Linked DNA regions of Caenorhabditis elegans. The protein of the gene in region 3 purifies or fractionates together with the protein of the main gene of each other region. This does not show direct contact. Each region holds a gene or a part of one and is shown on either strand. Other genes may lie near its edges.

Region 1 (7,696 bases), 4.8 Mb from region 3:
AGTACTGTAGAAAGGTTTTTCTCGTAATTTAATGCACTGATGATTCTACATCGAAAGCTATTTTTTATTAGTCAGCCGTGAGTTTGTGATTTTTTTTCCAAAAATACGGTACCTGGTCTCGATACGACCAATTTTTGGTGATTCTTTAAAAATGCGCGAATTAAAGGGGTACTGTAATTTCAAATTGTGCTGGCTGCGGAATTTTTTGTCAATTTTTCATAGTTTTTTTTTACGATGTGTATTTGCTTGCTTTGCTTAAGTATTTTGATTGAAAAAAAAACTGTGAAGATCCAATTGGTACCCAGTAAAAATTCCGCAACAATAAAAATCTGAATTTACAGAATTTTTTAAAGGCGCACATCTTTTCGAGTTTAATAATAATTTTCTTGTCGAGACCGGTACCGTATTTTTTGCGCAAAAATCGAAACATGGGGAATAAAACAAAAGATTTTAAAATTATTATGCTCACAATATTCTGAAATGCGTGTTTAAATGTTGCTCGGATTTTCTCGAATGGGTCTCACCGTGAAAAAAAGTTATATATCCTTTTTTCGGGATTTCGTAGACGAATATCTTCATTTTTCTACTTTTTCTTGATTTTTGTGAAGATTTTCAGTTTTTAATTATTATTTTTCAAAAGAAAAGGAAAGATTCGAAAACTTTTTCGCGGTGAGACCATTCAAAAAAATTTTAATGAAAAAGGGTGTGCGCCTTTAAGAACTACAGTAGTGTCTAAAAGCTTTATTTTTTGAAAAACAAATTTAAAATAATAGAATAATATTTATAGAAAATTACAAAAAAAAGGAGTGGAGGTTACTGTACTCATTAAAGGCGCACACCTTTATCAAAAATCTGTCGTCGTATCAAAAATTGCAAAATTCACCTGGAAAATTATTTTTTTAATAGAAAACTATGTAGCATTAAAAATAAAAATCATCAAAAACAATCTCGAAAAGCTCAAATTTTTTAAACTACAGTACCCCTAGCTTAAAGGCGCATACATAGTTGAATCTCAGAACGTTTTTGAAAAGAAAAGTTGCAGAAAAACTTCCGGAAGTCAACTTTTTTGCATAACATTTTCGTCCTTCCTTCTTTCACCAAAAAACGACTATACTTGTGTGTGTGTCGTCGTCAATTGTCTTTGGCACTCTGCCTATACAGACTAATAAAAAACCACCAAGAAGTCACCCAGAAAACAAAAAGAAAACAAGAGAAATATGCATGTTCAGATGGATTAAAGAAATGTGTGAAAAGTGTGCGTACGGGAGGGGAGCAAGAGGTAGAAAACGAACATGTAAAAAAGATTGAATGAATGATTAATGAGGCGACGAAAGGTCGAAAAGAGAAGCTCTTTCACAACGTGGAATCTCTGCAGCTGCTGCTGTTGCTGCTACTTGTGCTCGGAGCCGAAAGTGAGCCCCCATCTTCGGGTCACAAGCACCCCATCTCCTTCCTTCAAAAGGAGTCCCTGGAGACGAAGGAGCTCCCCGCGTCTAAGAAGGCGCCGCCCTATCAAACTCCCATTTTCCGCGAAAAGTAGTCTAGGAGGAGAAGGGTCTGCTGCCACTTTCTCCAAGATCCATCATGCCGAGCAACACTGGCGTTAAAATGATGATGATGATGCACCTGATTAGCTAAAGAGAGAACACAGTGGGAGAGAGATAAGAGAAACCTACTTTTTTTTTATATAACAACTGAGAAACTGAGAAACGATGGGAGAAATGTGGGGGGGGGGGGGGAAGGGGGAAAAGAAATGAACAACAACAATAACACAGAGGAGAGGTGTTTATAGAGTCTTCTTCCGGAAGACGGCACCCGTTGAAGTGACACCTTGTTTTCCGCCAAACGAGAAGCTGTGACTTGCTGGTACTTCACACACGATCTCTAGACTTGTTGAGCCGCCGCCGCCACCGAATTGCGAGCACATCTCGTCGCTGAAAAGGAAAACAATTGATTTCGACTTACAATGGAAGTATTTGAACTTGCATATGTCATTTGAAAGAGTAACTTCAAAAAATTTAGGTGCATACGAGAACTTTGAACTAGAAAAAATCGATCTGAACTCGGTTCAGCTCATTTTTTCAATATTTTTTTTGAATCTAATGAACAATTTGAGACGATTTTTAAAAAATTCAAAAATCCTGACTTTTTTTAATCAAAAAATTTGGTTCAGTCAAAAAAAATTCCGATTTTTTCTGAAACCTTGGAAAATTGTTGGAAATATCTAAATTGATTTTCTTTTTTAAATCTCCCTAATTGAAAAAATACAATTTTTAACTGAAAACTTTGGTCAAAAAATTTTTGGTCAAAAAACAATGCAAATTTTTGATAAACTTTTTAATGGAAAAAAATGGTCTGGAAGCTGTTTCAGATCAACTTTTCTCAGTTTCAAAGTGCTCGTATGCCGCTCAATTTTTTGGAGTGACCTATTTAGAAGTTTCATTTCGAGGCCCTTTTTAGGCCTACTTACAAAGTGAAATTACACGAGAATATCACAAATCGACCGCCAGCGCTCAGACCATTATCAAGAAAACCCAAGTAGGCTTTCAGACGAGCTTCTCGTTCATCGGATAGGCTCATCGCGTCCCATGTGCCTTTATCGAGAATTACATCGAATTTCGAGGAGAAAAAGTCGGCTGGCGGTGTGGTTATGTCCAATTGCTGAAAGAAAACGTTTTTGCTTTGAAATTTCGAGAAAAACAATATTTAAAGGCGGTTTGCAGAAAAAATTCAAATTGGTGAATTAATTTTAAATTCCCGAGCAAATTAATAACCTAGTTTCGACATTTCGCGTTTTCTTCGATTTTCTTATATTTTCCTTAAACTTTTGAAACACCCCTTGTCAATTTTTAGAAAGTTTTCCGCAAAAAAATTATAAATTAAAGTAAACTTAGCGCTTTTCAGGCCTTCTTCCCGGGAAAATGTCTGAAAATTGATAAACGGTGTTTTTACAAAAGAAACCAATCAAATTAGTCGGAAAACGCGAAAATGTCGGAACTAGGTAATTTATTTGCGCGGAAATTCAAAATAATTAGCTATTTTTTCGTTATTTATGCAAAAATTTATGTTTTAGATGAATAAACACCTCTTCTCCGTTTTTAATGATGCAAAATTCAAAAATTTACACCTCAAATTCAATATCTACTAATTCTTCGTCTTCTTCCTCTTCTCGCTCAGCTTTCGAAGCGGCTGCAGAAAGATCAACAGCTTTTTGACAATAATCAACACCTTTCAGACTCTGGAATCCTTTCGATCTCTGAAAAAAAACTGAATTTCAGAGGTTTTGAGCTCGAAATCCATACCAATTTCCTCAAAACCGATCCATTTCCACATCCCAAATCAAGAATCTTTGCATCTTTGCCGGTTTTCGAATCGATTAAATATTTTACGATTCGTGTTTCAGACGATGTTCCGAACCACACCTCTCCCTCATCTCCGTGTTGCTTGAAATTTTTAAGTTCCAACTCGTATCGTTGATCCCAGCTGAAATAAAAATGTTTTAGCCAACTCTAGATGTAAATTTTTAGAATTTTTACTTACAAATCCTTGGTTCCAAGTTGTGAAGAAGCAATTTCAACACTTTGTTCGCTCATGTCGCTCATTTCAAGCTATTTTAAAACCCGAAAATAAATAATAAATTCCAAAATCTGAAAAAAGTAGTTCCATAGAGCTTTTTTTGCATTTGCATTTGCCTCGTTTCTCTAATTCTCTGTTCACTCTCTAGAGAGATCTCTTCTAGGAAATCCAAGTTTAAAGTCTAAAAAGCAGATATTTTCTTGCATTTCACTTTCAACAATGTTCACATCAAGGAAAAAAATTAACATAATCAACGCTTTATTGTGCGTGTGTATTTTCAAACTACAAAAAAATCCCCGTCAGTAAATTCGGGAGATCGTCTTGTACAAATTTTTGGATGCAAAAGAACCGCGTGAAAGAATATGGGATTGTGTGAATAAAACAATAAAACGAATGTAAAAATTAGTCAAAAATACGGGGAAATTACTATTAAGATCGGGGGGCACTTTATAATTGTACGAGATTTATATTTCGTCAAAGTGCACACATATCTTGAGGTAGAGGACGTTCACATTTTGAGCTTCTTCATGAGGCGATCTCTGGAACTCATTTCCTTTTTCTTTGCTGAAAAAAAAAATTATTAAACAGTTCTCAAGGTTTCGATCTTTTCTTACGTGGTGGTTTCTCCTTTTTCTCTTTTGGTTGCTTCGGTGGCTTTGGCTCTTTAACCTTCTTGATTTTCTCTCCGGAATGAACAGCTTCACAGCGCTCCAGTTCGTTGTCAAGCTCGCGGAAGCTTTTCGTCGCCTTTTCCGGAATCTCTTCGACGCGTGCTTCGAGATGGGATCCACAATAGTCGGCCACGTTCTGATTCAACTTTACTTTTCTTCCAGACGACGTGCATTGATTATTGAATATCTGGACAACGCCCTTCTGATCTTCAGTCGGTCCCATTCCAATCTTGATGGTCAATGGAGCTGTAACTTCGGAAGGACCTGCTGCTTCAGGAACCGGAACCTTCTCCTCGGGAACTTCCTCTTTCTTCGCCTTCTTCACCTTCGGAGCATCATCATTGTCCTTCTTAGCCTTTTTCGTATACTTCTTCTTGTAGGCAGTCGAGCTGGACGGGCAATAGTCCTCATCATCCCGCTCCGCGGATTCTCGACTTTTACGTTTCTGCTTCAACCCCATCGGCTTATTCTTGGCATTCTGAATCTTCGTCTGAATCTCAATCTGCTTCCTCACCGAGATCATAATCTTATTCTTGTCGTCAGTGGGCAGGATCGCGTTCTTCTCGGGACCCAATCTCAACTCTCGATCCATCCAGCGCTCCATTTCGGCCTTCATGATTTGTGACGCCGTCCAAATATTCTTCTCCTGCTCACGCATGTCAGAACCTTCCTGATTGGCTTCTGAAATGTAGCGAATATTAGTAAAACCGCTATACAAACTAGTAAATTGCTTACCTGTAATCTTCTCAAGCAAGACGTTTCGCATGTACATCCAATGAAGAAGTTCGAAATTCGGAAAGTAGAACTTCTCCTCGCTTCTAATTTCCTTACGAATCGCGTTTTCGAGATGGTACACGCGCATTTGCATCTCAAGATTTCCCAAATGCAAGAAGTTTCCTCCAAAAACGAGCGAATCGACTGGAGTGAGAACCGCGTGAATCCAACCAGCCGGGATGAGCAGTGTCTGACCTTCCTTGATCACAACTCGCTTAACAGCTCCGTTGGCAATGTCACCGAACCATGTAGTGGTGTCCGGAGATGTCTCGTGTGCTTGATAAGCTGCAAAGTTCTGCTCCGTTGGCGCGGCGATGTAGAAGATTTTCTCGCCCTGAAAATAGAGTTAATAAGCTTTGAGAAAACCAATTTCAGTTGAAAGAAGGGTATTTCGAACATTACGATCCTAAATGTGCTCAAATCAACGAATTTCGTGATGAGGCTTCTCAAAAATGCTTTTAAAATCTCGGAAAATAGGAGATTTTAGCCAAATTTAGTCTTTTTTTTTTAATTTTGAACCTCCAAAAAAACCAAAAAAATATTGAGAATTTTTTCAGAAGTTTCAAACGAAATTCGTTAATTTGAGAACATTTTGGCGGGGTCAGAACGTTCACAATCCGCGGAACCATTTATATTCCTTCAATAATTATACCTTCAAAATGTGATAGTAGACGCTACTACCACCAAAGTCCACGTGGAAATCCGTATAAGATCCAGCCATTCCTGCGAGACAAAACTGTTCCACTTTTGGTCGCTGATCTTCTGGAAGATATTCTTCTCTCTGGAGGAGTTTAATGTACTCCGCTCCACTGACATCAGGCCACAGGCGGTTGACCATTGAGATTTCCTGGACAAATCTTGGCGGCTTAGCGATTTCTTTCATCCTGGAAATGTTAATTAATTAATTTTTCAATTGTTTTCAGTTAATAAACTCACTCATTATTGTCCGAGAATTCAAGGGACAGAAAATTGTACAAGAGTGGTCTGTTTTTAGTGTCGCGAAAAAGTTTTCTGAACGTATCAAGCTTCATCGAATAGGTGCTCTGATTATAGACATCGATCGTGTCCACTTCATAATCCGATCCCATAATTTTCACAACATCCTCCAAATCGAATCCAGGCTTCGGCATTGTCATATTGAGGCCGTCCATGTCTTTGACCATAAAAACTTTTCCCCAGTTGTCAGCTCCTCCGAGTTTTTCGAATTCTCTGCGGAATTCGTAGCCATCTTCGACAATGCAAACCTCATCGTCGGTTCTAAAGAATACAAATTTAATTTTAAATAATCTTTAAGGGAGGTCTGGGTTTTTTGCTTGTTTAGACTCAAAATGTGCCGGAATGAACGAAAAACATTATTATAGGTGATAAATTCAAGTTTTTTCGTTGATTTATGTACATTTGAAGCCAATAGGTAATCAAAAAAGGCCAATTTTAGTAAACTGACAGCTCAGAATGTACCAAATAAACGAAAAATGTGAGAAAACGGCAAAAATGGGAGTTTTCAGCTGAGATTAACTCTTTTTCTTGAAATTTTTGTGAAGTCTTCGTTCATTTTGGCGTATTTCGAGTCTTCACAAATAACAACCAAGTCATCTTTTAATGAAAATTCCCTTACGGTGAGGGAACAGTATTTTCTCTGGTGATGAAATCCTCAATCCAAGTTTTTGAGCCAACTTCAATTCCGAGATGCTTCTCGTTCGGACTGTACCAGCGATAACGATGTGGGGCGACGACTTTGTATCCTAAAATAATAAATAAATATATTTAATTGCAAGCTATTCGATGAAAAAACTTACGAATGCTATGTCCGGTATGTGGAACGCATTTGGGGCAGAAAAATTTCTCATACAGGTAATACTCAAATTGCTCGAGGCCTGAGCACAGAAAATGGTACCAGGTTTGGCAAGAGTCACAGCCAATCCATTGGAAGTCATTTTTCTTGTGATGGTGAGATTTCTTCTTGCTCATCAGTGGCTTTTCCTTTTCCTTCTTCTTTTCCTCTTCAAGAGCAATTAGATCATCTTCATGAGTAAATTTTCCGCATCCTCCACATCGATCCGATTCCTTTGGAGTTTTCTGCTCTGGGACATCATCTTCTTCACTGTCCGAGTCCACCTCAAGCTTCAATTCTTCTTGAACTTCTTTCTTTTTTGTTTTCATTTCGTCGAAATTCGAAATTGAAACGAAACGGAATGGAGGCTGGAATAAAATTTGATGATATTTATCAATTAATTTTTTTTCTTCATTTAAAAGTTCAGTATGATATTGCCACGGGAAATTTGAATTTTTTCAAAAATTTATAAATTTATAAATAAATTTTTTTTGAATGAAAATAATCTTCCACATTTCAGAATAAACCATACCTCAGATCCGTTGCTGACGTAGTTCTGATTTGACTCCATCTTCGGCGCTTCCGCTTCCATCTTGTTGCTCATTGCAGCCTGATTATCCGATGAATCTGTCACATGTGGCTCGATTTTAGGCTCGCTCTTCGGATTGTGCTGCTTTCTCCTCGGATCTTTTGGAGCGCCCATCTTGTTGTAAGCTCTCGCCTGGAAAATTACGTTGAGAAATGGAGGAAGTTCAGTGAAATCGGAGGTTACACTCACTTTCATGAGCACTGATTCTATCGCAAAATCAACCGAATTCTGAGATGAGACTTTTTTTAAAATTTT
Region 2 (7,931 bases), on a different chromosome or scaffold from region 3:
AAATGAATTCATGCTCAACTCCTGTTTCAGAGGAGGGCCTGAATGATCCCTTAGCGAACGTCGAACAATTCAACATCATCCAATTTCTTCAAAACGACGTAGAGTGAGTTTTGTAATTTCGAAATGTTTCGTAATTTGACATAGCGGTTTTTAGCTTCAATCTTCCAATAGAAGCATTTGAACAAGGAAATATGGATCAAAATATTCGAATTGATCCTATTTTACAACGCCAGCAAATGGCAAACCAACCTATGCTGATGCCTCAGCACATGCTTCAACAACTTCATCAACAACAAATCTATGAGCAACAAGTAAGTAACAAGTCAATGAACTCTTTTTCGTGTATTTAATGCTAAATTAAAAAAATTTGATTAATATCTGAAGTGCTTGAAAACATTTTTATGAATATTGAATTTCAGCTTGCATCAATGCCGATGACACCAGCCATCACAGATTTGACTCGTCATGGATCATCGTCCTCCCCGTCAACCACCAACTCTGATCCACCATACTCACCAGAAGGTCTTAACAATTTCGGACTAGGAACACAACGTCCAAACCACGGAGTGATTCCAAACGATATCTCAAATGTGCCACAACACATCAATCGTCAATTCAATCCCAGAATGGGACCGAACACATCACCAAATCCACCTTCATTCCCACAATTTCTCAACAGTAACCATCCAACGCCAGGAAGTTATGTTCAGGTATAAGGTTAAACAAAAGTTTATTTTTCAAAAACGTTGTTTTCAGTCAATTTCCCCAGACAGTAACGGTCAAGGATTCGCACAGAGCAATTTGTACAATGCATTGAACGTTTCTAGTGATGAAAGTATTAATGGCTCCGATGACATCCCAAATCGCAAACGCCCCCGTATGGACCAGAATATGGATCCCAGCTTCATCATGCATGCTCCAGTTTCTGGAAAACTCGGGGCGGAAGTCACAGAAGAAGGCGGACAGCCAAACATCCGTTTCTTTAAGTATCAAGAGGAACAATGGTGCCCAATGTATGATGCAAATGGAGAAGAGTTGGGTCGTCTCCAAGTGCACGTTCTGGCAGACAAAGGATTCAATTATTCCACAAATGATAACTGCTTTGTTAATCAAAAGAAAAACCACTTCCAGGTAAATTTCTTTTTTTTTCAGCAAAAATTCTAATGTTTCATTTTTTAGGTCACTGTCAAAATTGAGGCGATTGATCCATCACCACCACAGTGCTTCAAAATTAACGGAGTATGCAAACCAATTGAGAATTTCCAACTTTCATTCGTGGGCGCGAAGTCGGAGGTGAGTGAAATTTCAAAGTTATCAAAATGATATATTTAAATTTTGCAGTCTCAAAACTCAGAAATCCCCATCCGCCAGTCTACGACTGAGCGCAAACCTATATTGCATACACCAGTTCTTTTCAAAATTGTCGAACGCCGAATGACCATTGTGACAGTTCCAAGACTTCACTTCTCGGAAACTACACTGAACAATCAGAGAAAGAACTTGCGTCCAAACCCGGACCAGAAGTACTTCAATCTTGTTGTCCGTCTATACGCAACTGCCACTGATGGAACAACTGTATTGATGCAGGCATTCGCCTCGGAGCGTGTTATTGTTCGGGTAAGTATTTTTGTTGAATCGGTTGTGAGAAATAATGTTATGCAAAAAACAATTGTCCTAATCATATGTGGTGCTGTGTCGTACAGGCAAATGAATACAGCTTAGCATTTGCGAAAATAAGTGAACGATTTATGATACATTAATATTTCGGATAAGAAACATTCAATTCTGATAATATGTGTCTGTGTTAATCCGCTCGACCCAATAGGGGTGCTCATGTATATCATCTTCAAGCACTACTTCAAACTCGGGAAGCTCTTCAAATGGCTCATCCACGATCAGTGAATGTTTGGGTATTACCTCCTCTTGTTGAGCTGGCACTGAGAGATTATCTTCTGTGCATCCTATCCAAATAGGAATTGAATGATTATGAGTGTGGCCACCTTCTAATGTTATTTCGACTTCATAGTGATATTCGATTTGGAGGACGTTCCAGTAACAGATTTCAATGCTTGGTGGAATATTGAACGGGATGTGCATAACATGGATATGATCTTTCCTATGAATATTTTCTTCGAAAATTCGTACGTTTCGTTGACTGCAATAGCTTTCATCAAGTTTCACATTAGGCACGCGTAGTCTTTTCTTCTGCACCAGTGTGCCCTTGACGTAACGGGGCTCGCTGCCCTGCAAAGCAACTATTACATGCTTTCCACGCTTGAAGCATCGCTGAGATAGATGAATTTTGGTTGCTCCATACTCTTCTGTGTAGGGTGGCTTGTACGCTTCCTTAGCCCACGTGTCAATAAAACGGTCAACGAGAAGCTCACACTGTTGTTGGAAAAAATTTTTTGGTAAGCTCACTGTACTCGCGTGAATCATGTACTTGATTTCATCTCCTAATGTTGGCGGAAGAATTGAGGTGTCATACTGGGAATCCGCAAATGGGAGTTGAAACCGAAAGTTATGCTCTCCTGGTGACAATAGGGTTTCATGTGATAAGTTTGCTATAGCCTTGAATCTTAGAAATTCATACCAAAGACCTCCCACTCTCACTTCACCGGTAAGAATAAGTCGAAGAGACCTTAACTCCTTTGGTTCAACACTGTTCATAATGAATGTTACTTCTACATCTGCGCGTTCCAGTGGCTTTTTTTCTGATTGGGTGACGTCTAAAGAACAACAAATGTTATATTCGTATAAATGAAACACATACTTGTGACTGAAAGCTTCTCTATGTCAACAGAATAATCTCTATTTGATGTTTCTTCCTCTTCATCCTCCGAGTCGTAATCATCGTCGTCATCTGAGTCGTCATCTACATCTTGTACCCTTTTGAAAACAGGAACCGCTTCTCGTGGACGTTTGTGTTTCTGAAATAATGAATTTGTATTATTGATTCTAAAAAATATGAAGTTATCAACTCACAGCAACTTCCTCATTACATATAATGATAGGGTACTTGAATATAACTGGTTTCTTTCTTTTCTGCATTTTAATTTCCAAAACAATTTCATGTTTTACAACGAGAACATTCCATAGGGACATGGAAATCGATATTAGACTCTCTGGTGGGACCACAAGTGAGATAGATGTGTTTGCGGTCGACTTCTGCTCTTTCAAAAATTTCACAAAACGTCTGGTGGCCAAATAGTTGCTAGGATGACTCTCGCTAAAACAAAAGATTGTGAACTTTGGCGCTTTGTCTAGCAACCTACCGGACTTCCACCAATTGGGCCAACTTACACGTAAAATGCTCAATCACGGATTTCTCAGTGTTTAATTCCCATCCAACTATAATTTCTTCATTATGACAAAAAGCCGTCTTTTCGAGAAAAATTCGGCCATTGATCGGATCGCATTTCCTGAAAAATTTGAAACGCGTTTTAAAATTAAATGCGATTTTTCACTTGTGAAGAATACTTCCATGCTCGACACACTTATTAACCATGTGCTCCACCGGATAACACGCTTCGTGCGGCATTTTTAAAATTAATGATCTTCGAACTTCGAATATTTTCTCCACATAGTTGTTTTCGTGCCACGGAGCGACAGAAGCACGTACACAGTAGATAATTTCACTTCCATCTGGGAATTTCATAGAGGGAGGAAATCTTGGCAGCCAAACATCGATTGCTGCTCGTAAGGGTGATTCAACTGATATTTTGACTTTGTCTGAGTTTATTTAAAATTAATCTTACCTCCTGGCTCTACGAGAACCCATTGTTGCTCATGAAGAAATTCATAATGAAGAGCGTCGCCTTTACAAACATAGCCGCGAAAAATTATTTGTGCAGAATGAACAAGCTCGCTTGAATTATTGATAGTCACATCAGCGGTAAAAAAATTATCAACTGAACTATCAAATACCGCTGGACAATCTATTGAAGTAACATAAGCAAGATCCATGAGTGGAAAAAAAATAAACGCGGACAACTAAAAGAGAGAGGAATGAAGAGCTATTTGAGAGCTCACGCGTATTTCGTTGCTAGCAACACATTAATAAATCATACTTGCAGGCAACCAATCCCGGATCATTTGAACCTCCAGAAATGGTAGACGCGAGTTGGAACAAGAATGGAGGAATCTTGAGCACAAATGGACCTGTTGTCATTGGAAAATCAGAGCCAAGAGCACAACTAACCGTCGATGGAGATATTTACTCAAGCGGCCGTGTTATGTATCCATCTGATATTCGTCTTAAGGACAACATCACTGAAAAGGGAGCCAAGGATGCTCTGGAAAATTTGCAAAAGCTGCGTATTGTTGATTACTTCTACAAACCGGAGGTTGCAAGTAAATGGGGATTAACCGAAGATCAGAGGAAACGAACGGGAGTTATTGCTCAAGAGCTGGCGGCGGTGCTTCCAGACGCAGTGAAAGATCTGGGAGATTACCTCACTGTCAACGAGTCTCGTGTCTTCTATGAGACAGTTTTGGCAACTCAGGAACTGTGCCGTCTGACTGGAGATCTTGATCAGAAAATTGATGACAAAGTTGCTGAGATTAGTCAGCGACTCACTCAGTATGCACAGAAAAAGAAAATGCTCAACTCAATGGCATCTGGACTAAATTCTGAAGGAAGATCTCTGAATGCTTCTAGAACATCACTTGATTCATCCGCTTCTGCTTTAACTCTTACAAACACCAAAAAGAACCGCCGTTCATCCAGAAAAGACAAAAAAGATGCACCAAAATCTAAAATGACTCATGGAACCGTTATCGGATTAGTTGGAGTAATGGCATTCTGTCTTCTTGCTATGTCTGCGCTTTACATTCTTGACTGGCACAATCGTAACTTCGGATATCATCATTTCACACCATCTGCTACCACATCGGGACCAAAGGAAGGTCCAGGAAACGTCGTTATTCCATTGGGTAAGGCTGTATATTACACGTGAAGTATACTTCAATGTTTAAATTTCAGATCACTATGTACCCCTGAGACAACCGGATGCACCGCCACTAGTTCCTTTTTGTCCAATGGAAACGTGTCGTGGATATTGCTGCATGGAATATGACAAAGACCACGCTGAGCTGGAAATTGTAAGTGTCCGTTTCCGGAAAGGTGAAACTTTGAAAATTGCATTTGTAGACTGAATATGATCCAAATACCGCAACTGACAACGACTTTGGGTTCAAAGCAGATACTCGTTCCGATTTCACACTTAAAGGGTTTGGTAACAACGTGAAAATTTCACTACCTGAATTAGGAATGCAAATTGATGAGCGTTACTGCATCGAAAAAAGCTGTGTCAAGAAGAGGAAGGTGTACAGTCTCTTTATTCCAATGACTCGATACCTGCCAAATGTTCCACTGGAGGTTCAGATTGAGTGAGTTTACACTTTTTGCGCAGAAAAAAATCAAATAAAAATACGAGTTAGCCATTACTACTTTCTTCGGCTTGATTTTACTCAGTTTTAACAATTAATTTTTTTCCGGAACTCTCCTGCTGTTAATTTCTTTTCAAATGCTCAAAATTCTTACTTTAAAGTTTTTAATAAACTGATAATTGTGTGTTAGGACACCACATTCAAAAAATTGAATCAAATTTATGTATCTATTTCAATTGAGCGTGGTGTAATTTTTTTCTCTATAGGCTTAGAAACTAAAATTTCTAAGAACAAGAATTTGAAACAAATCTTCTTGTTTTAATTTAGGAAGAATATTTTGAAAGCGTGTCATAATCCACAATTATCAAACATTTTTATTTATTAATTTTTTGTGTACGCATTTGAAAACGTATTTAACACAACTCAATTTGAGCACCCCACATAAAACATCAACTATCATATCATTGAATTTTCGCTTTTCAGTGTCCCATCTTCCAAGGTGGTCAACAACTGTGGCTACATCCAGGAATTTGACAACAGAAAATGCGACGAAACAGGAAGCTCGTCCACAGAAACGGATGCTCCAAGATCGATCCAACTGTTTGATAACACGTTCCAAGTCAGTGCAGGTCAATGGACTCAATCAGCTTATCGCTTCCGTGTGGGTTACTCTACCGAACTCTGCTCGATCGACGATACTCATTTTGGAGGATTCTACGAGGAATACAATCTTATCTTTTACCGCGCGTGCAATAGAACAAACTCAACTGCTATTAATGTCGTCTAACATCAGAGATAATCACACAATAGATACCAATTTTTCTCTCCCACCATTCAAATACAGTGTACTTCCATATATATCATAAAACATTCCGGTTGTATGATACGTAGCAATAACCCTTCGTAGCAGAGTATCCGCCCTAATTAAATCTGAAAATTGGAAATCCATGGATACCGATACACCGGTTTGTCATATTCCTTTTTTCTTAATGTACTCATCACTGATAGCCATCATCCAAAACTAAACACTTTTTACTCCTCTCATTTTACGTGACGCATTTTCTCACTGATCTTTACATTGTTGCATGTAAAAAATGCCCAACTCTCTCTCCCTCCCACTCTCTCTCTCTCTTTCTCTTGTCATTTTCCAAACATTTTCTTTAAAGTCTCTCCTTCTGAAATTTTTGGATACTATGTTATCATGTTATTTTGTACTTACCGTACTCAATGGCCATTGCCATCCTCGGCCCAGTGTTTTATTTTGCGTCGTGCTTGTGTATTTATCGCATTCTTCTCATTCACTCTCTTCCTCCAAACTTGTAGCATCTCGCTTTGTTCATGTAGTTGTTGTACGCGTACGTTGAAAATAAGTTTAAGAAAAAGTCAATAATTTTTATCCGTTGTCCTCTTAGTTTTCCATTTGATGTCATTACTGTTATTTATAAATACTCATCAAACTTGTTGTATGTGAGTATTGCATATGCGCCAACAAACCTCCTCATCCCTACACGCCCACAACGGAAAACAGTTTGGACTTTTTTGTTTTGAAAAATCGTATCTCATCACACACGCCCTGATGTTTGTATTTTATTTTGATGAACTGCAACAATAATAACTGTGTCGACTCAATAAATCGTTTTTGTATACCACAGTTTATTATTTTATTTATTTTCAGCCATAATACATAATTTTAAAAAGATGGTAAAGCGGAGCGTCTCATTTTTTAGCAGGAACATTTTTAGCATGTTTCCATTAGTGATATATGTATAAGTCTACGGTGGACTTATTTGCAAAAGGCTTTTTCCCCACAGTTCACCAATCGCAAACCACCTGTTGATAACTGGAGCCTGGTTTGAAAAAAAGGTAATTATTATAGTTTTACGGGATTGATAAGCACGTTTCATTTTACTATTCATTTTATAAAAATATATAACTAAAAACGATATATCAATTTATTCAATAAATACAAATACAACCCATAATGTGAAATTGTTTTTAAACCATAAAAATGTTTAGATTGTTCAACCAGGAAGAAGAGTGTAAAGTGCCGAAATTGAGTTTAAAATTGTTCGGTCAGTTTTACAAATATGTAAGAAATCCTTTTTTGTTATTCGTCCTTTTTTTCCAACATCGAACTTCTGGAAATTTCAAAACTATTTGACATTTATTAAGACAATTGTTGCTGAGAGTAAACAGTTCTGAGATTTCTTAACAAGATATTCCGAGTATCAGATTCTGAAGTAGGCTAAATTATGTGTGCATAACGGATGTGGGTCAGTATGTATTCGAAATAGTGAAAATATTTTAACTCTCATAGTTTTTTTTGTTATTTATTGTTATTTAAAAAATAGTGTAGCCTCCATTAAAAATTTTCAATACCAACAAACTTCATAAAACATTATGTTTAACGAGATCAGTTTATTGCATTGCCCTCTTGGTGCACAATTCAAAAGCTTTATCACCGTTCGCTATTATTTATTAATAATTAATAACCTTTGTTCAGTGCTACCTCAGTAAGGTCATAGCTGTATGAATCACTC
Region 3 (7,830 bases):
TGCCTGTCTTTCCTTCTTTTACACCTTTCTCCCTCTGCGTCTCGTATCTCTTTAGTGACAGAAAAAAACGGCTAGAATCACGTTTGGGCGGGAAGAAAACATTTTCGGTGTAAGGCTCATAGGTTTCCGATAACGTTTTGAGCAAAATGGAGAGCTTCGAATTCAGGAAAAGTCAGGTATACGTGGAGCTTGAACACGATTAAAGTGAAGTGGGATTTTATTTTTTTTAAACTCAAAATGAGTTTTTAATAACCAAATATATTTTTCTTTTAATTCCAATTATTCCCAGTCAAACGTTTTCACAAATGAAATTTTTGGACTTTTTGAAAAATTCAAGTATGCTGCCTCTACAAAGTTTAAATAAAAATGTTAAAGCAAAATTAGAATACAAAACTCTTTGGAGCAATTTTGTTTAATCAAAGCGTATATGCTGCACAACGTTGAGAGCTCCACACAAGAAGAAACTACCCAAGTAACAGAAAACCTTAGGTTTGACGAGTTTTTTGAGTCACAACAACTGCTAACATGTAGCTTATTGTCTGATTTTTGTACCTGATAAAAATAGTTTTTTGAGTTATTCTGGATTATTGTCGCTCTGTGTATTCTAGAAGTGTTTCTCTTCTGTTAGGTTATAAAATTGAATTATTAATTTTCAAACGATTCTTTGCTGTTTTTTGAAAGCTAGACATTTGTATTTGTATATGATATATGCATAACGGCTTCAGTCATTTTCTTGAACTTAAAATTTACATTTCAGCTGTTTCAGGTACCAAATGGGTGCAACTTTGTAATATAATTGATGGCTTCAATGCGCACTGGTATCCCTTGGCAACAAAACCTCTAGAGATGTAGAAATTGTGTTATTCGATAGTTTCATATTTTGTGGTCGGAAAACTGAGAGCCTAATTATGAAGCAAACACTTGGAAAACAAAATGGGAGAGTATTTGAACAGAAGAGTCGTAGAGAAAATCAAATTTTTTGCTCGAACTTTCATCGTCCGTCTGCGGGAACTTGACACTTTTTTATGATAAACCCTAGCTTTCTCTGTGTACTTGAACTTTTCATAAATCCATTTTCTGAACCAAATGTGCAAATCTGTAAAATCGTGGCGAGACCCAATCAGAATGTCCACATGCGCCTCTAACTGACATGCCAAAAAATCTGCGCGAATACGATAGTTTTGAATTTTCAAAAGCCCTAAATATGAACAGATTATTTTAAATAATTTTCTAGCACAAATGCCTTGTTTCGCTCTCTCTAAATTTTCAAAATTCCATATTTCAGACCAATTTTTTTTCATAAAATTAAAAGACAAAATGTTGAATTTTCACCGATACCATTCATTGCTTTCAAAATTCTACATCAAATTCCATTCAATCCATGATTATTTTGACAATTTTACAAGAAACATTAAAAAATTAAGAGAAAAATTTTAATTCACATTGAAACGCATCCATCCTCAATCCTCATTGTATTGGGAGTATTTGTATTTGCCACGTGGCATATTCAGTCGTTTTTCTCCTCGGTGCATTCAGTTGGAGCTGGTCCAACTGGAGTCTCATCATAGTCCAAATCCGGGCGGCCTGGATGAGATTCCTCGATATCCTGAAATAATTTTATATAGATTTCACAGAGTTTGACGGTAGTTTTCATTATAATTTCAGATAAATTTAAACTATTACCTTTTCCGGAATTGGAACACTATCCTCATCGTACTTGCTGTAGTCAACCTCTACATCAGGAACTTCTTTGTCTTCTTGATCACTCATTGTTGTCCAAGTTGTTGGCTTCAGATGCTGCTTATGAAAACGAGAATGAGCTCTTTTTATGCTGTAAGAGGCTCGCTAGCTAACCATTGCCACGCCCCCTTTTGTGCTCAATTTCCATGGAGACCCGAGCTAAACAACAGGTTTCCAGGGACAACGGGAGCTCTAGATCATGCGACATGTCATGTGGTTGTGTCTATTTTCGAAAGGAAAAGTTTATGAGTCAGAAATATAAAACAAGAGAATACTGAAAATAAATAGTTTAAACATTTAAAACACAAAAAATGAGGAGTGAAAGAATTTGAAAATGGGCAATCGGAAGAACAACACAACCTAATGGGGCATAGCGAAATTCTCAAATGAAATAGGAAGGAAAACAAGAAAATTTGTAAGCAATTTTGAGAAGAACAATAAACCCGGTTTCTAATAGAAGGTGAATAAAAATTTTCAAAAAGTTATAATTTTTGTTGTCGGATGACAATTGACACATAAAAGCCAAAATGGAATTGGTTGAACAGCTCAAAACCGGAAAGAAAACAAATCTCACTGATATATTGGAAATTTCTAAATTTAAAGCCAGTGTCAATAGTGCCCAGCCCAAAGATCTCCGTACTTGAAATCAGCGAAAGGACGATCTCCATAACCTTCTGGAATCACTCGGCGCATGTTGATTTTTTGGAAGAATTCCAGGCGGTGGAAGTCTGGTTCCTGAAAATTTTATTTTTAATGTTTAAAAAAATGCTAAATATTATGTATTCACCCAATCAATGTGATTCTCTTTGGAATAGGATGTGAGATTATATTTAATATATCCAATTCACCAAATTCTTAATTAATTAAATCATTTTCCCCTGCCTCAGAAGACAGGGCTGCAAAAATTGTACACTGGGTCTTTAGTAAGGCCCTGAAGTATTATAAGAAATCGACTATTCCCTGTGGCGTAAAGAGGGTACCCTCCCGTTTGAACCGACATCTGCCGGGTTCCGCCACCCTCCATTCTATGTGAGAGGTGGGCGGGGCGTCCGTTCAGATTGTGGAGACGGAGACACAACGAAAAAGGCATGCCGAAGGAAAACATGAAACGAACAAGAAATTTAATATTATGCAAATCGTGTTTAAATAGTCCCAGAAAGGATTAATATTCAACATCTACTTTTTAAAAATATTAGTTTTAAATCTCAGTTCACCTAAACAAAAACATTATCAACATAAATTTTTCCCCTGCCTCGAGAGACAGGGCTTCAAAAATTGTACTTCGGGTCTTTAACAAGGCCCTGAGTTAGTTATGGTTTAACGAGTTGAGACTCGTCAATAGGGTGAGTATATAGTTGCGTGTACGGACGAATCACGGGTTTCGCAGTCAACTATGTTTTATGTTTACGATGGGCGGAGCAAAATGAGTGCCGATAGTGAAGACAAATGTGAGAAGAAAAGATTATGAGTGATGGGCTCTATATTGGGAGCCAAAAGTTGCAAATTTTTATATTACAAACAGGTTGAAATCATTTTTTTTCAATAATTTATTGTATTAAAGCTCACCGAATAAGTTCCATCGGTCACAGGGCTCAATGCGGCGTAAACGCGTTCCGAATCCATTCCATGGATGTGATAAGCGTTAAATTTTGTAACTTCTGGAAATAAGATTTGCATAATTTTACAATTAAACTTAAAAATTACTGGATGGGAAGTATGCAAGAGGAATCTCGACTTCTCCTACCCAACGATTTCCAACCCATTTGTTGCGTACTTCGAGTTCGAGTTCTTCGCCTGAAATGATTAAAGATTGAAGGGAAACATGTAACTTTCGAAAAACTGATATTTTCAAAATACTTAAAAAGTTAAAATACTCACCGTTGTTGATAGTATGACGAACTCCGTCAAAAAGAAGGCAGAGCCAATGTCCATGTGGACCAATCTCAACTTCTAGATACTGTCCACGATCATTTGCGAAGAAGAATTCAATAACTTCGAAATCCCAAAGCTGAAAAGAATTTAATTTGGAGAAACTATTGAATTATATACTTTATCACAGTAAAAACTGACTAACCTGTGGTGTTATTCCTGGTGGATCGAGTGGTTCTGGATCGTCGAAGAATGGTGCCTGAATACGAAATTTTGTTGAAGTTTTTATAAATATATAAATATTCAAAATTATTACGTCGAATGAAATCTTGACAACTCGCTTATGTGGGCGCCCGACGAGTCGCTCAAAGTGCCACTTCAAGTCAATCTGCAAAAATTCAAATATACGCATTTACAAAAAGTTTGCAATAAACCGTAATTTTCTCGAATCTAAATGTATAAAAATTCGAAAACTCACTTTGATAGGCTCATGTGCAAGTGGAAGTCCATCCCAAGTATGATCAATGGTGTACTTGAGTCCTGCCATCGAGTTCATTGCCTCGGCTTTCTCGAGATCGTCATGGTCGGTTTGTACCATATTCCACATGACTGAAAGCTGCAAAAGAAGACGAATACACATGTCAACCGACATCATATGAGACGAGAGAATGTGGTGGAGACGAGGAAAGGCGTAGCTTATAAGGAGAAAGATACACAAAAAATACACGAAAGTTTAGAATGTTGAAAGCTTGAATAACGAACATTGTGGTATTTTGAAGAATAACTTTTTAAAGAGATACGCTCGTAATTAATATATTATCATTCAAAACACTACATATCCTCTTGTAAAATAAACTCCAACGAGTTAAAAGGAGAGAAAATCAATAAGGGATATATAAAAATGACTAAACTTTGAAATTTAAAAATAAATAATGAAATATGCGTCGAAAACTCTTTTAAATATCCAAAAATAGGCCTCTTGAAACAATTTTGGCACTCAATCTGTGTACTTTTACGTGGTGGTGTTTGCACACATTGCACACTAGCTGCCGACATATTTCTGCGTCTCTTCTGTGCACGCACTCTCTTGTCTTCCAACTGTACCGGTACTGTAGAATTTTGATAGAAATTAAACGAATTTCCTACTGGTTTTCGTAACTTCTTTTATCAAGTATATGTGTTATCCAAAATTTTAAAAACGAATGGCATCGATTGCTTAAACTTTATGTGGTCAGTCACGAGAAACTGTTGAAAAGTGAAAATGTGGGAATAAAGTGAAGCAAACAAATCAGCTGACCACCTCGTTTTCTCTCTCTCTCCGTATTCCACTCCGCTCCCAGTTTGCTTATCGCGCATTGTTTCCTTTCACGCTAACAAAAATACAATAGAATTCGAAGAAGCAGAGACAGTTTTGAAATCGTGGAATGAGGATGTTGGAAGTTGGCCAAGCGATCATTAGTTGCCGAAAAATGGATGCTTCTCGTCTCTCATCAAATTAAATTGTTTAAAAAATAACGAATCAATAGAAATTGTGATGCAAGTGTTTGCACCTCAAATGCACTCTGACTGTGCGAAAAAGAAACGAATGAAATAAAAATAAAGTCGTTGCGCTACGCATGACCGTTTGCAAAATTAAACAAACATCTGAACCAACACATGTGTTTTATTACACAGAAGATACATTTGAAACTGTCACCTGTTTCTTTCTGAAAAGCAACTCCAAAAATGTTTCAACAAATAATTAAATACTTTTCTGAAACTTAAAAAAAACATAGTAAATCTACAATGTATATCAAAATGATACGGTACCCATGTAGTCTTAATATAACAATTGTGAACTTAGACTAACCATAAAATAAAGAAATATATTTATTAAAAAGCAAAATGTTTCGAAACTTTTAGCAATTCTGTCTCGTGAGAGAGGTTCAGATAAGCAAAGGAAAACAAAAATGTCATATGCGTACAATAATGATGTAATATGTGGAAATAGTGATATCATTTGACGAAAATAAGTACAAAGATTAATTGAAATTTGAGGAAAAGCTCCAAATATATGTTTACCTTTTGACTGTTTTTCTTATTTTTAGTTACCGTATTTCCTCTATGTGTGTTGCAGCCGGAGTGCTAATTTGTGGCAGCTCAGAAAAAATTTCGACCGTCTTTTTTTGAATACTTTCTTCTATAATTTGAAATGTTTTTTATATCTTTAAAATTAACCGAAATATAAACTGTCAAAGAAGAGATCTAATCATGTAACTTTTTAAAAAAATTAATACATATATTTTTAGGTGTTGCAATTGGAACAGCCCACACTAAAAGTATCCAAAACTATTCAAAAGTTTATATTTCTAGTACACATACAGTTATGGAAGAAATTCGTAAAAATACAGTTATCTTGCTCAGAAGTCCTAGAATATTAATAGTTTTTAGAAGAATTTTGAATATTTTCCTACAAACTTAAACTTACAACTTACTTTTACCTACAAATTTAAACTTACAATATATCATAGCTTTGCCTGAATATTTTCGAAAATCTTATTAAACATTGAAATGGTTTATCATGATGTGAGTATATTTCAACAGAACATTCCAGTTGAAATTGTTTCCTCTTGAATCAGTTTTGAAAATTTTAAAATTCGTTTTAAAAATCATTGTTGAAACTGCTAGAAAAATATCACATTTGAAAAATTTCGCTCTGTTGACTCTCAATTTCCAGGACGTCCAAATTATTCGAAACTAAAACGTGGAATCTTGAAGATGAATTTTAAAACAATTCATTTCTTCTCGATATTTATCCAATTAGGTTCTCGATATTTATTCAATTACAGTTTTCAATATAAAGTATATGTAAAAACTTCAAATATTTTTAAACACGGAATTTGTTACTTGACACAAATAAAAAAATCAGTTGAAAGTTGGCTCCGGCATTTTCTAAAAAGTATTATGCTTCGACATTTGTGGATTTCTTTGCTGAAACAGTAATCATTTCAATTGTTGGTTGGAATCCTTCAACTATTTTATTTCTTTTTTGAAGCGAATTGGTATGAAGATTTCATCTGAAATCTCTGCTTTAGAATTTCTCTTTGAAAATATAACTCTTCTAAAAGTCTTAATTTCAATGACAATAGACGAGGAAGGAATAATGCTCTTTGACATCTAATACAGAAATAATCCAGCATTGAAGGCAGTGTTTGACATTTAGAAAAAATCCCTGTTTCACAAATACTTAATACACTGTGAGATTAGATTGATAAAAAAGGTTCAGTAGATCCTCTTTTGATATTTAACTTTTTACCATTCAAAGATGATATTGTTTATGGGTGTCATGGACAAACGTGAACAAATTTTTTTGATAAAGTATGAATCCAAAAATAGAAAGTTGATATGATCAAATGTTTACAATCGATGTTTTCACAAGTTGCAGACAATTAAAATATAAATAATCTGAAATTGCAAAATATGTGTTTGTTGATCTAAATTATTTCACACTATTCAATTTGTATAAAGTATAAAATAGATCTGCTTAATTTTTTTGAAAGAGTTAATTTTTTTACCTATCGCACTCAAGGTGGTTTTATCATCGGGGGCACTTTCTGACTTTTGATTCAAGAACCAAAAAATGCAAAAATGTAGGAGGACATTGCAAAAAGCAGAATTTAATTTTCCGTTGTTTATAAAAAATATTATAAAAGTACAAATTAATCAAACGCTGAAAAACACAAGTTACTAACGAAACAGATTTTTAGAATTTTGTCATAAGACTTAGTTAGTCCATTTACACTTGTTAGATTACAGTTTATTATTTTTGTAACATTTTTTGTTTAACCATGAAAAAAAAGTTACTGAACTTCAGCAAAATGTACCCCGGAAAACATATATCCTGTTACTTCACTTTTTAAGACAGTTTATCAAAAAAGGAGGGTTTCGCAAAAATTATTTGCTTTCTGAAAAATATAAATATCAGAAATTTTTTTTTAAAAACTGTGTGCAAGAATTGTTTAATAGTAAGTAAAATATCATAACATCTTCACATTCTCAGGTAAAAAGAACTATAAAAATTTTTTAGAACCGGAATAAAATGGCTGGGGATTTTTTTACAACTCGGCATAGCTTAAAATTCTCATCAATTTGATGCTCCCACATTTTCACCAGGCATACAAAGTGAGCCGAGTTCGACGAAACTGAGAAAATTCAAATTTTGACATTTTTCTACAGTATTGA

The links.
Region 1: the proteins of C33A12.3 (region 3) and F29B9.1 fractionate together in Caenorhabditis elegans (co-fractionation; one large-scale study listed by BioGRID). This does not show direct contact.
Region 2: the proteins of C33A12.3 (region 3) and arrd-28 fractionate together in Caenorhabditis elegans (co-fractionation; one large-scale study listed by BioGRID). This does not show direct contact.

What each region holds. Positions count from the first base shown.
Region 1 is NC_003282.8:4,661,330-4,669,025, reverse strand, and holds F29B9.1 (Protein-lysine N-methyltransferase CELE_F29B9.1), read right to left. Parts: upstream 3,648-7,696; 5' UTR 3,603-3,647; coding exon 3,541-3,602; intron 3,484-3,540; coding exon 3,303-3,483; intron 3,257-3,302; coding exon 3,128-3,256; intron 2,662-3,127; coding exon 2,471-2,661; intron 1,935-2,470; coding exon 1,787-1,934; 3' UTR 1,735-1,786; downstream 1-1,734. Other genes in the region: jmjd-1.2 (JmjC domain-containing protein), read right to left, coding at 4,085-4,140, 4,191-4,928, 4,983-5,355, 5,674-5,905, 5,958-6,278, 6,637-6,763, 6,818-7,220, 7,385-7,669.
Region 2 is NC_003284.9:10,180,058-10,187,988, reverse strand, and holds arrd-28 (Arrestin C-terminal-like domain-containing protein), read right to left. Parts: upstream 3,995-7,931; 5' UTR 3,967-3,994; coding exon 3,759-3,966; intron 3,715-3,758; coding exon 3,468-3,714; intron 3,423-3,467; coding exon 3,276-3,422; intron 3,230-3,275; coding exon 2,986-3,229; intron 2,931-2,985; coding exon 2,774-2,930; intron 2,730-2,773; coding exon 1,780-2,729; 3' UTR 1,735-1,779; downstream 1-1,734. Other genes in the region: myrf-2 (Myelin regulatory factor homolog 2, N-terminal), read left to right, coding at 31-103, 155-311, 420-710, 757-1,131, 1,180-1,293, 1,342-1,617, 4,077-4,935, 4,985-5,103 and 2 more; ncs-4 (EF-hand domain-containing protein), read right to left, coding at 7,413-7,529.
Region 3 is NC_003282.8:9,508,778-9,516,607, forward strand, and holds C33A12.3 (UPF0462 protein C4orf33 homolog), read right to left. Parts: upstream 4,226-7,830; 5' UTR 4,217-4,225; coding exon 4,088-4,216; intron 3,998-4,087; coding exon 3,926-3,997; intron 3,869-3,925; coding exon 3,815-3,868; intron 3,749-3,814; coding exon 3,619-3,748; intron 3,535-3,618; coding exon 3,445-3,534; intron 3,399-3,444; coding exon 3,307-3,398; intron 3,063-3,306; exon of another isoform or gene 2,986-3,062; intron 2,690-2,985; exon of another isoform or gene 2,618-2,689; intron 2,476-2,617; coding exon 2,350-2,475; 3' UTR 1,971-2,349; downstream 1-1,970. Other genes in the region: C33A12.4 (TFIP11), read right to left, coding at 1,508-1,606, 1,684-1,770.